Macaca fascicularis: one gene and its partner. The protein of the gene in region 2 purifies or fractionates together with the protein of the main gene of each other region. This does not show direct contact. Links are inferred from orthologs where the notes say so. Each region holds a gene or a part of one and is shown on either strand. Other genes may lie near its edges.

What was found. The genes of interacting proteins can lie anywhere in the genome.
Region 1: the proteins of POLR3E (region 2) and POLR3GL purify together in Homo sapiens (co-immunoprecipitation; 5 studies listed by BioGRID and IntAct, counting the BioPlex papers as one, with this or other methods). This does not show direct contact. The link is inferred for Macaca fascicularis from reciprocal best matches to the Homo sapiens genes POLR3E and POLR3GL.

Annotation. Positions count from the first base shown.
Region 1 is NC_088375.1:113,449,729-113,457,193, reverse strand, and holds part of POLR3GL (DNA-directed RNA polymerase III subunit RPC7-like), read left to right. Parts: coding exon of another isoform or gene 1-344; exon of another isoform or gene 345-470; intron 471-990; 5' UTR 991-1,015; coding exon 1,016-1,085; exon of another isoform or gene 1,086-1,198; intron 1,199-3,184; coding exon 3,185-3,348; intron 3,349-7,465. Other genes in the region: ANKRD34A (ankyrin repeat domain-containing protein 34A), read right to left, coding at 1-344. UniProt on the Homo sapiens protein: DNA-dependent RNA polymerase catalyzes the transcription of DNA into RNA using the four ribonucleoside triphosphates as substrates. Specific peripheric component of RNA polymerase III which synthesizes small RNAs, such as 5S rRNA and tRNAs.
Region 2 is NC_088394.1:21,282,428-21,290,531, reverse strand, and holds the start of POLR3E (DNA-directed RNA polymerase III subunit RPC5), read right to left. Parts: upstream 5,390-8,104; 5' UTR 5,272-5,389; intron 3,923-5,271; 5' UTR 3,827-3,922; intron 2,582-3,826; exon of another isoform or gene 2,324-2,581; intron 463-2,323; 5' UTR 328-462; exon of another isoform or gene 235-327; 5' UTR 1-234. UniProt on the Homo sapiens protein: DNA-dependent RNA polymerase catalyzes the transcription of DNA into RNA using the four ribonucleoside triphosphates as substrates.

The DNA of each region.
Region 1 (7,465 bases), on a different chromosome or scaffold from region 2:
AGAGCTGAGGCGCCCGCGTGATCTCGGACTGAGGGGTCTGCGCCGTGGGCAAGGAGCAGCGAGGCCACCGCGGCGCCCCCACCCCCGGCGCAAGCGTGCATGAGCGCCGTGCGCCCTAAGCGGTCTGCGATGTTGGGGTCCGCGCCTTGCTCCAGGAGGTAGCGTACCATGCGTGCCTTGTTCTGGGGGTCGTCGTAGCGAGCCCGACAGGCTGCCATTAGCGCAGTCTCCCCCTGCGCATCACCCTCATTCACGTAGGCGCCTCCCTCCAGAAGCAAACGGGCCAAGCGTAGCTTACCCTGACCCACCGCCCGAAGAAGAGCGTGGCCCTCGGTGTGCAACATAGCTGCGGCTGGGGTGAGGGCACAGATGGAGCCGGGACTGAGACCTGCCGAGGACGGCTAGGGGTAGGGGGTAGGGGGTGGGGGGTGGCTGGCAGAGGCCTGAGGTCTCAGTGACGAAGCCGATCCCTGCAAGAGAGACATCTTATTGATAGATTCGGCAGGGAAACTGAGGCACCGATGCAGGAACCCAGCGTGGGGTGGGGGAGATCTTCACGGCATACAGTCGTTCCTCTAACTCATGCCTTTGAGCCGGCCCTTCCCCCGCAGCGCATGCCTGAGGAGGTGGGAAGGGTGCACCCGCACTGAAGGACTAGCGCGCGTGCAAATGCGTTCGTGCACGCGCAGGGATGTCCGCACCCCCACCCTCACCCCATGGCTTATCAGACCTTTCCTCTATCCCCCTTTTCTTATCCACACTTGGGATCCCCCTTTCTAGGATGCTGAACGCCACCCACCCACATACATGCACCCTACAGTCACACATGTATTCTCATTCCTAACCTCTTTTAGCTTGCCACAACCCCAAAAATTGAGTGGGGGGAGGGAAGCAGACTGCATTTGAGACCTAAAACGGGTGGAGGGAGAATTGGGGGGTTCTTTTGCCCCTGCGATGTTCCCCATCACTCCTTGCTCTTTCCCCTCCCAGGCTGTGCGCCCAGATAGATACCTGAATGTCCGCAGAATCTCCTCCTGGCCAAGATTGGGGCCGTGGCCACGGGGCAGCCGAGGTGGCGGAGCCAGGTTCCTGGGGGCCCGCATGGTGTGGAGGGGGGGCACCCGGATTCCCTTGGTGTCAGTATCTGCGCCCCAGCGCCGGATCGTCGTCCCTCCTCCCGGAGCGCCCCGGGCACAGCGCCGGCTCGGGAGGAGAGAAGCTGGGGGGGGGGGGGGAAGGGGGGGCGGAGCTCTGCTGTGCTATTTATAGCCTAGTCTCTGCGGGTGGGGGCGTCGGGCACCAAACTGCTCCCCCACTCATGCACACATAAACCCTCAAAAACCTAGAGGCTCCAATCCTGACTTCCTTTTCTTAGCCGACCTCCCCTCAGCCCCAACAAACCTAAGTGTTCCTTAGGGGACTCCTCCGCGACCCAGACAGGGACCATCATCGTCCAGATTCTTCGCTGAGCTTTAGCAGATCCCCATTCTCTGCACTTGGTGTGTTTATGCGCTTCTGTGCGCCAGACCTGACCTACCACGCACGGCACATGGCACACTGTGCAAGAAAGGTGTAGACAGGCTTTTTGGATCCACAGCCGGTGTCCATACTGTGCAAAGAGAGGCAAGAGATGTGGCTTTCTTCCTGTAGTTTAATTGTGAAGGAGACACGGTCTAGCCTGGAGTCAGACACAGATACACCCCCGCCCCATCTCTCAAAAACGGAACACCCATCGCAGAGAAACTCGGACCTCAGCTCCCTTATATAGACCTAGATAAATGAGGAAGGTGGATATGGGGGCACTTTTAGACAGGGCAAGGGACATTCCCAGGTGCCTCCACCCCGTATTATTGTGGGCAGGGAGATAGGAAAGTGGCAGGAAGAAGAGCGAACCTGGTAATACACTCTGTCACATTGCACCTCTTTAATCTCAGTCTTGCTTAGTCGTCTTATTTTTTCCATCTTGCTTGAAGATCTCTGTCTGAAATGCTCCTTATAGCTTCTCTCTTCCTATCTATTGGTCTCTCACACTGTCTCTGCCTCTCCTTGCCACCTGCCCTGTCTCCATGGTTACCATAGCTTCCATCCACATATTTTAGGAATGAGTTTGTGTCCAGCTGGAAGGCACCAAGGAAAGTGGGAGAAGAAGAAAAATCCTAAGGTTTTAAAAAGTTCACTCAGGGTCCTGAGCTAATTCGGAGGCTGGAGGCCCCCCAGATGCAAGATACTGAAAATAATGTTCCCAGGTATGGGAGAGAGAGAAAGATTTGAGGGAAGCTACCCATTTTTACTAGTTATTTCTTGGACACGTGTCAACTATGTGCCATGTGCTTTACATACACTCTTTTCAATCCTCACAACTCTGTAAGATAGGAACTATCATCTTCTTGTTACAGATGAGGAAACAGACTTCATAAGTTTAAGCAAGTTCTCCAAAGTTTCACAGCTATATTTCTGTTCTATGGCAAAGACTGGGCGCTTGCCGCTACACCTACAGCCTCCCAGTTTACAGGTCATTTTCTCTTACATCTGGGATATTCTTCTTGACTAACTCCTAGACTTCATCTCCATTCTGAACCCTTTCTCCCTTGTTTCTGTTTTCTGCGAAAATAGGACTCCTCCTTCCACGCTGCTCGCCTTCCCAAGGAGCGCGCAGGAAGTGGAAAGTAGTGGAAAATGCAGAAAAAGCTGGGCTTCTGCCCTGTCTCCCCAACTCTGGTACTCTGATCCCAGATCCTTCCTTTCTCAAACCCTCTGCCCACCTTCTCACAGACACGGCAGCAACCCACAGAAAAACATTTTTAGAAAAGAAGTATCCATTGGTGGTGCTGGAGAGAGGCAGTGTATGATTGAAAGGAAGGCTGGAGTAATGGAGAGACCAAGTTGTGAAGCTAGAGTCACAAAGAGACTGATCCCTAAAGAGCAGCTTTCACAGGGGTTCATTTCTCCGTAGGCCCTCTCCTCTTTTGGCCTTTCTGTAGGGGCTCCCTCAACACGGTCCCTCGATGAGATACGAGTGTCACGTTCCCTTGGTGAACTCTTGCCGGCCAGTGGCTCCTTCCATCTGGAGTGAGACCGGAAATAAGTGACCCTAGATGATTCTGCAACCCCCATCTCCCTCTGCGACCCGCTTCGCAAGCTTCGGTTCCGGGCTTACTCGCTCCCTCCCTCCTTCTCTTCCTAGGCTTCAAGAGGGCGGACTTCCCTCCTCAGCTTCTCCTGCATTGGCCGAGAAAACTCACCAATAGGGAGCTCCGGGAGGCGGGCCTAGAACGCCACCGACTTGAGGAAGCCCAGTACATTTCAAGTTGGCCGCGGCGTGGGCTCCGCGTGGGGGAGGGACAGCAGGTAAGGCTCCGACCTGGTGGCTCTGACCTGGTTCGGTCCCACACTTGCCGAACTTGTTCATCCCGGCCAGGCTGCGAAATAGATAATGCTTTCCGTCAGGTTGTTGGATCAGCCCCCTTCTGGCTCCCTACCTTTTCTCCCCTGGGCCCCCATTTCTGTATTGATTGTATACTAGAGAATGGTAGTTTTCTGTCGCGCACGGGGAGAGACATTAAAGCAGAAAACGAGACAGCCTCTTGTACCTCTCTTTGCTATAGCATCAACTTCCTCCCAATCTATTAATATTATCCCAAGAGCCTGACAAACTCCTGTTATCTATGAAGACTAGCTGAAATGCTACCTGTAGTTTTCCTGGACTGCCTTTCTTGCAAAATGAATTGTTCCCCCGTCTGACGATAGCATTTTGTGTATACCTTTATTGGGACACTTAGTGCACTCTCTCTCTTTAATGACTCTATGCCTTTTAGAATAGAAGGTTTTGTAGGATAGGTGCTAGTAGTTAATATATAGTGCCCAATAAACGTTAGTTAAATAGAATTGATTTTTGGCAACTAGCACTCTTTTTGGGGAGGCAGAATTTAAATTCCTAACATAAAATAAAAATAAAAATAAAAACTAACATAACTAGGGAACAATAAAAGACAATACAGTATGTAATTAAGAGCCATTAAATTAGTGGTTCATAATATTAGTGTTTCATAATTGTTTCTGCAATCTAGAGAAGGAAGAAAGCAGGGAGAACTGGAATGGTGAGGGGAGGCTTTATGGATCACAAGGTCTCAAGTTTGGAAAGGCCCATAGAAATAATGTATTTATTCATTCATTCAACAAATATTTATTGAGCACCTACTATATGTGAGACACAATGCTAAATCATGCTGATCACAGGGAATCCTCTACTAGAGCCATGCATCCTTCTTACAAACCCTATTTAGTAAATTGTTGCCCAGCTTCTATGTAAACATCTTTAGTAAGGAAACTCTCTTGTCTCTCTTGTAGGTCATTCCATGTTTTGATATCTGTTCTTTAGTCAATATCCAATAAATATTCTAAATAAGAACTATATAGCTAAAGGAAATGCATTCCACACTTCCACTGTAAACAGGGGAAATCTGGCTGGGAGCGGTGGCTCACGCCTGTAATCCCAGCACTTTGGGAGGCTGAGGCGGGCGGATCACCTGAGGTCGGGAGTTGGAGACCAGCCTGACCAACATGGAGAAACTCCGTCTGTACTAAAAATACAAAAATTAGCTGGGCGTGTTGGCGAATGGCTGTAATCCCAGCTACTGGGGAGGCTGAGGCAGGAGAATCATTTGAACCCAGGAGGCAGAGGTTGCAGTGAGCTGAGATCGCACCATTGCACTCCAGCCTGGGCAACAAGAGCAAAACTCCGTTTCAAAAAAAAAAAAGACGGAAATCTGTCCTTTTACAGTGGAATTGGTAGCATTCTTAAAAGCAAGCCATTTCTAGCTGGGCGTGGTGACTCATGCCTGTAATTCCAGCACTTTGGGAGGCTGAGGTGGGCAGATCACTTTAGCCCAGGAGTTCAAGACCAGCCTAGGCAACAACAAAACCCTGTCTCTACAAAAACTACCAAAAATAAAGAAAAAAATAGCCAAGCATTGTGGCTCAGGCCTGTAGTTCCAGCTGCTCAGGAGGCTGAGGTGGGGGGTTGCTTCAGCTGGGGAAGTCGAGACTGCAGTGAGCCAAGATTGCCACTGCACTTCAGCCTAAGCGACAGAACAAGAACCTGTCTCAAAAAAAAAAAAAAAAAAAAGAGGCCGGGTGTGATGGCTTACACCTGTAATCCCAGCTCTTTGGGAGGCTGAGGCAGGTGGATCACGAGGTCAGGAGTTTGAGACCAGCCTGGTCAACATGGCAAAACCCCGTCTCTACTAAAAATACAAAAATTAGCCAAGCGTGATGGTGGGTGCCTGTAATCCCAGCTACTCGGGAGGCTGAGGCAGGAGAATTGCCTGAACCCGTAAGGTGGAGGCTGTGGTGAGCCGAAATCACACCACTGCACTCCAGGCTGGGTGACAGAGCAAGACTCTGTCCCCAAAAAAAAAAAAAAAAAAAGGTACACAACTCTCTGCACTAAAAAAATTTCCAAAAAACCTCATCCCTCAAATTAACCATTGTTAATTTTTGGTACATATCTTTCTTTAACAGCTTTTTAATTCATATGTGTGTATGTATTTCTGACAGATTACCTTCTACATATATTTAATATTTTTTTCACCAACTAATCTCTTGTGAATTTTGAATTGCTACTTGATTTTTGTTTTAGCTTTTTGTTTTGAGACAGGGTCTCTTTCTGTCACCCAGGGTGAGTGCAGTGGCATGATCATGGCTCACTGAATCCTCTATCTCCTGGGCTGAAGCGATCCTTCTACCTCAGTCTCCCAGGTACCTGAGACTATTTTTCATAGTCTATTTTTTTATTTTTTGTAGAGATGGGGTCTCACTGTGTTGCCCAGGTTGGACTCAAACTCCTGGACTTAAGTAGTCATCCCATCTCAGCCTCCCAGAGTGCTGGGATTGCACACAGGTGTGAACCACCACACCCACCCTCGAGGTTTTTTTTGTTTTTGTTTTAATTAATAGATTATATATTTTAGAACAGTTTCAGACTTACAGAAAAATTTAGCAGATAGTGCCAAGAGTTCCCATTTGTCCCAGTGCACAGTTTCCCCTATTAACATTGTAGATTGGGCCGGGCGCAGTGGCTCAAGCCTGTAATCCCAGCACTTTGGGAGGCCGAGACGGGCGGATCATGAGGTCAGGAGATCGAGACCATCCTGGCTAACACGGTGAAACCCCGTCTCTACTAAAAATACAAGAAAATTAGCCGGGCGAGGTGGCGGGCGCCTGTAGTCCCAGCTACTCGGTAGGCTGAGGCAGGAGAATGGCGTGAACCCGGGGGAGCGGAGCTTGCAGTGAGCCGAGATCGCGCCACTGCACTCCAGCCTGGGGCACAGAGCAAGACTCCGCGTAAAAAAAAAAAAAAAAAAAAAAAAAAAAAATTGTAGATTGGCCGACCATGGTGGCTACCGCCTGTAATCCCAGCACTTTGGGAGGCTGAGGCGGGTGGATCACGAGGTCAGGAGTTCGAGACCAACCTGGCCAAGACAGTGAAACCCCATCTCTATTAAAAATACAAAAACAAATTAGCTGGGCCCGGTGGCGGGCTCCTGTAATCCCAGCTACTCGGGAGGCTGAGGCAGTAGAATCACTTGAACCCGGGAGGTGGAGGTTGCAGTGAGCCGAGATTGCGCCACTGCACTCCAGCCTGCACGACAGAGCAAGACTCTGTCTCTAAAAAAAAAAAAAAAAAAAAGGCCGGGCGCAGTGGCTCACGCCTGTAATCCAGCATTTTGGGAGGCCGAGGCGGACGGATCACCTGGTCAGGAGGTGGGGACCAGCCTGACCAACGTGGAGAAACCCCCTCTCTACTAAAAAAAAGTATAAAATTAGCCGGGCGTGGTGGCGCATGCCTGTAATCCCAGCTACTCAGGAGGCTGAGGCAGGAGAATCACTTGAACCCGGGAGGCGGAGGTTGCGGTGAGCCAAGATCGCGCCATTGCACTCCAGCCTGGGCAACAAGAGCGAAACTCCATTTCCAAAAAAATAAATAAATAAAGTAGATTAGTATATTTGTTACAATTAATGAATGAATACTGATACATTATTAACTAAGGTTCATACTTGATTGACATTTCTTTGGTTTTTAGCTATTGCTCTTTTTCTGTACATGGATCCCATTTAGGATTCCACATTATATTTAGTTGTCACATCTCCTTACGCTCCTCTTAAGTGTGACGGGTTTCTCACACTTTACTGTTTTTGATGACTGACAGTTTTGAGGAGTTGTTTATATTGTAGGATGCCTTTCTGCTTGAATTTGTCTGATGTTTTTCTCTGTATTAGCCTGAGGTTATGGGTTTTTAGGAGGAGGATCACAGAGGTGAAGTACCATTGTATTGTATAATATTAAGGGCACATACCGAAAACATGATTTATGAGTATTGATGCTGACCTTGGTCATCTGGTTGAAGTAGTGTTTTTCTGGTCTCTCCACTGTAAAGATATTCCTCTTGATTTCCTAAATTATACT
Region 2 (8,104 bases):
AATTCACTGCCAGAGAGGAGGATAGAGGTTAGCTGGTCCCAGCCATGATTAAAACACTGGAGAACTGAGGGCCCTGAGGAGGCTTGAAAGAGCAGCCAGACGTCAAACAGGCAGACAGACAGTCCAAAGCTCTCTCTGATACTTGATTTTCAAGCTGACTTTAACTCGAATCCTGAGTGAGATGACTCTTCTGTGATTTGGTCTAAAAATGACCTCTTCACACACTCTTCTGTCCTGTATTCGACACAATAACCCTGTGAGGTGTGGTGATTGTTACTGTTTTATAATGAACAGACTGGAACTCAGAGATACTGTGTGCGTTTTTACCCAAAGTCACATAGTAAGCAGGATGATGAACTGGACTTCACATCCAGGCTGTCTGACCTCAGGTGCAGGTAACAGGGAGGGGAGGTGAGAGGCAGGCAGGGCCTTTCTGCTGGGGAGGAGGCACGTGGGGTGTGCCTGGAAGGAGAGAGGGCGTTGGGTAAGCCACGACAGCAGAGGGGAAGAGGAATTCCAGGAAGAGGGAAGGCTGCAGGTCTCCACGGGGCAGGCTGAGTATTTCAGCTGGTCTGTCCCTTCACATACCCAAAGAGAAGAGAGGTGGTCATAGGAGGATGGTACTCAGGCACCCCCAGGCCTCAGCAATCCCCAAACCCCTGCTCTTGGGTGAGACCAGCATTTTTTTTTTTTTTTTTTTTTTCCTTGAGACAGAGTCTTGCTCTGTCGCCCAGGCTGGAGGGCAGTGGTACGATCAGCTCACTGCAACCTCTGCCTCCCGGGTTCAAGTGATTGTCCTGCCTCAGCCTTCCAAGTAGCTGGTATTACAGGTGCCTGCCACAGTACCCGGCTAATTTTTATATTTTAAATAGAGATAGGATTTCACCATGTTGGCCAGGCATGATTTTTGTCTGATCTACTTAACATTTGAACTATCTAATATTTATTTATTTATTTATTTAAGACATGTCTCGCTCTGTCGCCCAGGCCAAAGTGCACTGGCATGATTTTGACTCACTGCTTCCTAGGTTCAAGTGATTACCGTGCCTCAGCCTCCCAAGTAGCTGGGATTACAGGCATGCACCATCCGCCCAGCTAATTTTTGTATTTTTAGTAGAGACGGGGCTTTGCCACATTGGCCAGGCTGGTCTTGAACTCCTGGCCTCAAATGATTCATTCGCCTGCCTCGGCCTCTCAAAGTGCTGGGATTGCAGGTGTGAGCCACCGCACCTGGATAAAAGCCAAAGTCTTTATCACCCCATGTAAACCCTAAACAATCTCCTGCCCCTTGACCTGCCAGACCTCATCTCCCACGAGCCTCCTACCCTCCTCTCCTCTCTAAACCCACCTCTGGGGATGTGTAGCTGCTCTACCCGCCTGATAACCTCATGGCCCCCCCTTCACCTCTTTCAGGTTTTTGCTCAAATGTCACCTTATGGCTAAGACCTTCCCTCTCCAAATCAAATTGCAAACTGCCTTCCCCACCCCTCAATTCCCTTCTCTGCTCTGGTTTTCTCCATAGCAGGTGTCTATCACCATGTGACAGTTTACAGCTCTGCATCTGTGCCCACCTCTATTGCCACTAAGCTGTAAGCTACGTGAAGGCAGAGATTTTGGTCTATTTTGTCCCTTGTGGTACCCCAAGTGCCTAGTACATAGCAGGCACTCAATACATGTTTGTTGTCTAAATAAATGAACCATGGGAATGCTATTTAATAGGAAGCTACAGAAGGATTTCGGGCAGAGGAAGATATGGAGGGGGTAGAAAGAGAAACTTCAGGGAAACAGGCTATCGTAACAGTCCCAGAGATGGAGGATAGAATGAAAATCAGAAGTCGCATCTCGATAGTTTCAGGTGCATCTCGACTCTCTGCTGTGCAGACAGAGGGCAGCGTGGAGGGGAGAGCCCAAGGCCTGACTCCATCTGCACTGGCTGCCAAGCACCACAGACATGTCAAGCTCCTGCCTTCTCTGCAGCTCGGCAGTGGACAACTGAGAGGCTGGAGCCTGCCAGGTGAGCAAGGGGACAGATCATAAGCATTGAGGGTGTGGCCTGGGAGCTTCCAAAGACACAATCATTCTTTCTCTGCTATTGCTATGCCCTGTTGGCCTCTGCGTTGCCAGGGATCAGGGAGGCTAAGGTGCCCTGTCAGCTAGAGAGCTGGAGCTCCTCCCTCTGGATAGTACATCTGGGTTGATACAAAGAGTGTCACCTCCCTTCATCCTCCAGGTTGAGGTGATCCAACTCAGTGGCTTTCAAAGTTTTCAGCCTAAGATCCACCACAGTAAGAAATTCATCTCAGCCGGGCGCAGTGGCTCACACCTGTAATCCCAGCACTTTGGGAGGCCGAGGCGAGCAGATCACAAGGTCAGGAGATCAAGACCATCCTGGCTAACACGGTGAAACCCCATCTCTACTAAAAATACAAAACATTAGCCGGGCGTGGCAGCGGGCGCCTGTAGTCCCAGCTACTCGGGAGGCTGAGGCAGGAGAAGGGCGTGAACCCAGGAGGCGGAGCTTGCAGTGAGCCGAGATCGGGCCACTGCACTCCAGCCTGGGTGACAGAGCAAGGCTCCGTCTCTGGGGAAAAAAAAAACAACATGAAATTCATCTCATATAAATAACCCAGAACATACACACAGTTGCGTAACTGAAACAAAGTTTCATATAACTCTGTCTCTACTATATGTCAGGCAGTGATGTTTTCTACTTCATTCATTCAAAACAAAAAATGCTAGCTTCAATTCCACTAAATCAATTTTACTTCCCACTAATAAATCTCAATCTGCAATGTGAAAAGAACTCATCCATGTCTCCCTATGGCTACCTGCCTCAAAGTCTCCCAGCAACAGTGAGTCCTTGGAAAGGCTGGCGTGGTGGCTCATGCCAGTAATCCCAACACTTTGGGAGGCTTAGGTGGAAGGACTGCCTGAGACCAGGAGTTCAAGACCAGCCTGAGCAACATAGTGAGACCCCCCCCCGACCCCCGGTCTCTCTTTAAAAAAAAAAAAAAAAAAAAATTAGCCCAGCGTGGCCTGCAGTCCCAATGACTTGGGAAGTTGAGGCAGCAGGACTGGTTGAATCCAGGAGTTTGAGGCTGCAGTGAGCTATGATCACACCACTGTGTTCCATCCTGAGTCACAGGGTGAGACTCTATCTCTATTCGGGGCGGGGCCAGGCACGCTGGCTCACGCCTGTAATCCCAGCACTTTAGGAAACTGAGGCAGGCAGATCACCTGAGGTCAGGAGTTCCAGAACAGCCTGGCCAATAAGGTGAAACCCCGTCTCCACTAAAAATACAAAAATCAGCCAGGTGTGGTGATGCACACCTGTAATCCCAGCTACTTGGGAGGCTGAGGCAGAAGAATCGTTTGAACCCAGGAGGCAGAGGTTGCAGTGAGCTGAGATCTTGCCACTGCACTCGAGACTGGGTAACACAGCAAGACTTCATCTTAAAAAAAAAAAAAATGTAAATCATTATTTCCCTGCCTAAAACCTGTCAACTGTCACTGTCACATAAAACAAAACCCAAACTCCTTTCCATGAGCCGCCTAAGGCCCTACATGATCTTGTCTCTGACTTCCCCTGACCATCCAGGCTGGTAGCCACTTGCTGGGCCTCCACCAAGCCAAGCCCCAGTCCACCCAAGGTCCTTTGCACATCATCTATTCCCCCACAGGGATTTCCAAGGTTGCTCCTTTTTATTAAGTATCATCACCGCCTGCAGGAGAGGATAGGTTCCCTGGCCACCCTATTTTAAAAGCCTCCCCCAACTTCCTCCCAGGCACTACCACATCTCTATTTTCTTTCCTTAATGGGTCTCACCTTAATCTGGAACTACCTGGTCTATTTGCTCAGGTGTTGTCTTCTGCAATAGAATGTAAGCTCCATGAAGGCTTCTCAGTGCTTCAGTTTCCTCAACTATGAAATGAAGATTAAAAAAAATATATATCCACTGCTAGATCTCTCAATACCTAGAACAGTGCCTGGCACGAAGTTGACACTCAATATAGTACAAAGAATACTTTATATTTAATCTTCTCATTAGCCCTATTAATAGAGATTTATCATCTTCAATTTGGAAATGAGGAGACTGAGGTTGAGAGAGAAGTAACTCATCCGAGGTGGAATCAGGACAGAAACTAGGGTCTCGTTGATGTCAAAGATCCTTATTCTTATTCTTAACCAGTATACTGCACAGATCTTCGATAAAAGGCAGTATGGTTAAGTGGGTAAGAGCCTGAACTCCGGAGCAAAACTACGCGGGTTCAAATCCCACCGCAGCTGCTTCGCATCTGTGACCTACTTGAGTTGTCTACGTCTGGTATTCTTCCCTATTTTCATCCCTAAAGTAGGGAAACTAAGTACCGACCTACAAACAGCTGCGGGGAGGAGTAAAGACGGTAATAAACGTAACCTATGGGAAGGTTCGTTATTACTTGACAACATGTTTTCTGCCAATGTAGGCGGGTAAAAACGCTGCAAGCGGGAGCGTCACCTGGTTTCTAATGAGCCATCACCACAACCCTATGAGGTAGGAATTTCTATTATCCCCATTTCACAGATGAGGAACTGTTGAGATCGCTAAGATCTCTTCTTTCCGCCTCCAAGCCCAAGGAATTCTAAAGCTAACCCAAAGGAACGACCTTGTTTGTTTACTGACACCTCCTCGGACCGAATGGTCAGGGCCGTATCCGGAGCACAGAGTTGGCTCAGTAAACACTGAATGGTTGCCTGAATAAATGAACGAGGAATCCCAGGCCTCGCCAGGCAGAAGCTAATCCGGTTCAGCTGCGAAGAGGGGGCTCCGGCAGGCGCAGGTGCCCTCCCTGCCCATCGGGGCGGGCCGCCGACCCCGAGCCTCGCTGTCCAATGGGTTTCTGCTCCCTCGCGGGTGGTCAGGACCCCTTCTCACGCCCACCACGCAGTCCCTGCCGCGAGCCGCCACCACACCCGACGCCGAGGACAGGTGTTCCTTCCGTAGGATGCCCCCCAGGCCCGGGTGGGGCAGGTCGGCAGGACCCTGAGTCACCGCCGGCAGCGTCGGCCGCGGCCTCCCCAACTCCCAGGTGTCGGGTCGGGGAAGTAGGAGTCCGGGGTCGGCCTGGAGCCGGCTGCCCCTCCTCCCGCCCGAGTCCCGAGAGGCCCCCAGCCCCTCAGCACGGCGCGGCGCGGGCCTCCTTGGCCTACTCGGGAATCTAGCCCAGACCCACGTCATGAGTGCGGTCCGGCTCAAGCCCCAGCTCGGGCGCTGCCAAGATGGGACTCACCTCTCCGCGGGGGCCGAGCGCGGACGGCGGCAACCGCCCAGTTACCCGCGGGCTGCAGATGCGGCGGCGGCCCGGCTCTCCTCTCAGGCGGCGGCCATGTTGCTGGTGGAGAAACTCCGGCGGACACGTGGGGGGAGCGGGCCGGCCCCAGCGCTTCCTCTTACCCACAATGCCCCGCCCCGGCGCACACGGCTCCGCCCCCTCCGCCGCGCCATTCATGCAGGCCGTGAGCCCCGCCCTGCAGCAGGGGGCGCTGATGGCACGCGCAAAACAGCCGGGCGTGTATGCAGCGGGGAACAAAAAGAAACCAACCCTGGCAGCGGTGGGATTCGAACCCACGCCCCCGAAGAGACTGGAGCCTTAATCCAGCGCCTTAGACCGCTCGGCCACGCTACCCAGCTGGAGAAAGGGTTTGCCAGAACGCTACTTAATGCTTTTGCATTCGCATTTCATCTGGAAATCGCGAGGCGTTTTCGCTGAGGTTTTTTTGTTTAATGTGTGTTCAAGCTGATCCCTATAGAATTATTTTAAAAAGCCGTGTGCTGGAAAATAAACACTTGCTCCAGTTTTTAGACCCAGGTTTGTTCCGAATAGGTATTAGAGCAAAACTCATTTTTAGAAACTGTACTCTGAGATGGATGGTTACCCTGGAGACCCCTGGTTAACTCACAAGTAATCCATACGACCCGGATTGCGTGTCTCCGGGAGAAGAAATCGATCTGATCAGAAACACGCCCTAGGGGATCTGACGGCCAAACCCGGGGGCTGGTCTGGGCAGTTGTCTCTGAGAAATTATGTGTTTAAATTTTTACTTACACAAATAACACACGAATTATTGTAAAATATTTAAACTTTGCAGATAAGGTACAAATGCTCTTTGACTCTTGACTCGCATCCTAGGCCCCTCCGCAGAGGTTAAGTAACCATTATTATCAGTTTAATATGTACTATGGTTTGAATGTGTCCCCCAAATTTCATGTGTTGGAAATTTAATCCCCAATGTGGCAGTATTGTGTGGTGGGCCCTTTAAGAGGTGATTAGATCATGAGGGTGGAGCCCTCATGAGTGGATTAATCTATTCATGGATTCATGGGTTAATGGATTAATAGGTTATCTTGGGAGGGGGACTGATGGCTTTATAAGTGGGAGCTTTATAAGTGCTAGACCTGAGCCAGCAAGTGAACAGCTCAGCACCTCCTCCATATCATGGCTTGTACTGCCTGAGGACTCTGCAGGGGTACCCCACCAGCAAGAAGGCCCTCGTCAGATGCACACTCTTGCGCTTGGACTTATCAGCCTCCATAACTGTAATAAGTAACTTCCTTTTCTTTACAGATTACCCAGTTTCAGGTATTCTGTTATAAGCAACAGAAAATGGACTAAAACACTATATATCTTTTGTACAAAAATGTACAAAAATTACAAAGAAAAAAAATCATCATCCATAGTGCCACCACCTGGCATTAAATTAATGACTATCATTATTGTGGCTTTTTTTCTTTTCTTTTCTTTTTTCTTTTCTCTCTCTCTCTCTCTCTTTTTTTTTTTTTTTTTTTTTTTTTGAGATGGAGTCTCGCTCTTGTCCAGGCTGGGGTGCAGTGCTGTGGTCTCCGCTCACTGCATCCTTCGCCTCCTGGGTTCAAGCGTCTTTACTAAAAATATAAATTTAGCCTGGCGTGGTGGCACGCGCCCGTAATCCCAGCTACTTGGGAGGCTGAGGCAGGAGAATCGCTTGAACCTGGGAAGCGGAGATTGCTGTGAGCCGAGATTCCGCCACTGCACTCTAGCCTGGGCGACAGTGTGAAACTCCGTCTCAAAAATAAATAAAGAAAAATAGATCACACTATTACAAATAGAAATTATTAGACCGTTACAAATAAAAATAAAGTCCCCTCCCAAACATTCTCCCCTGTCTATAACCGTCATGAATTTGATGTGTATCTTTCCAATAATTTCTTACATTTTTACATATAAAACTTATGTAAAAAACACATAAAATGGTTATCTGTTTGTTTTTCATTTATATAAATGTTAGCACATTGTACTGATATCTAAAACTTGCTTTTCTCATTTCAACAGTATTATTATTATTATTTTAAGAGAGTCTTGCTCTGTCACCCAGGTTAGAGTACAGTGGCACAATAGTAGCCTAGATCTCCTGGGCTCAAGTCATTCTCCTACTTCAGTTTCCCAAGTAGCTGAGATTACAGGCATGAGCCACTGTGCCAGGCCCAACATTGTGTTTTTGAGGTCTGTTACGATGCCTATAGATCTAATTCATTCATTCCATGCCATGAACAACTTTTAAGTTGTTACTAAATTTTTGTCATTACGCACGATATGGCAGGAAGTACCCTTGCACATGGCTCCTTGTCTTGTGTATGGACATTTCTCTAGGGTATACACTAGAAATGAAATTGCTAGACTATATTTATACTTTACCTAGTATTATATTATAATAATATTAATAATAGGCTGGTCTTGGTGGCTCACTCCTGTAATCCTAGCACTTTGGGAGACTGAGGTGGCAGGATCGCTCGACGCCAGAAGTTCAAGACCAGCCTAAGCAACGTTGAGAAACCTTGTCTCTACCAAAAAGCAAAAGAAAAGAAATTAGCCGGGCACGGTGGCGTATGCCTGTAGTCTCAGCTACTTGGGAGGCCAAGGTCAGAAAATCCCTTGAGCCAGGGAGGTCAAGGCTGCAGTGAGCCGAGATTCAGGCACTGCACTCTAGCCTGGGTGAGAGAGGAGACCCTCTCTATATAGATATAGATATGCATATATTTTTCCATTTTGCCAAAGTATATGATTTTTGATGACTTTTTTTTTTTTT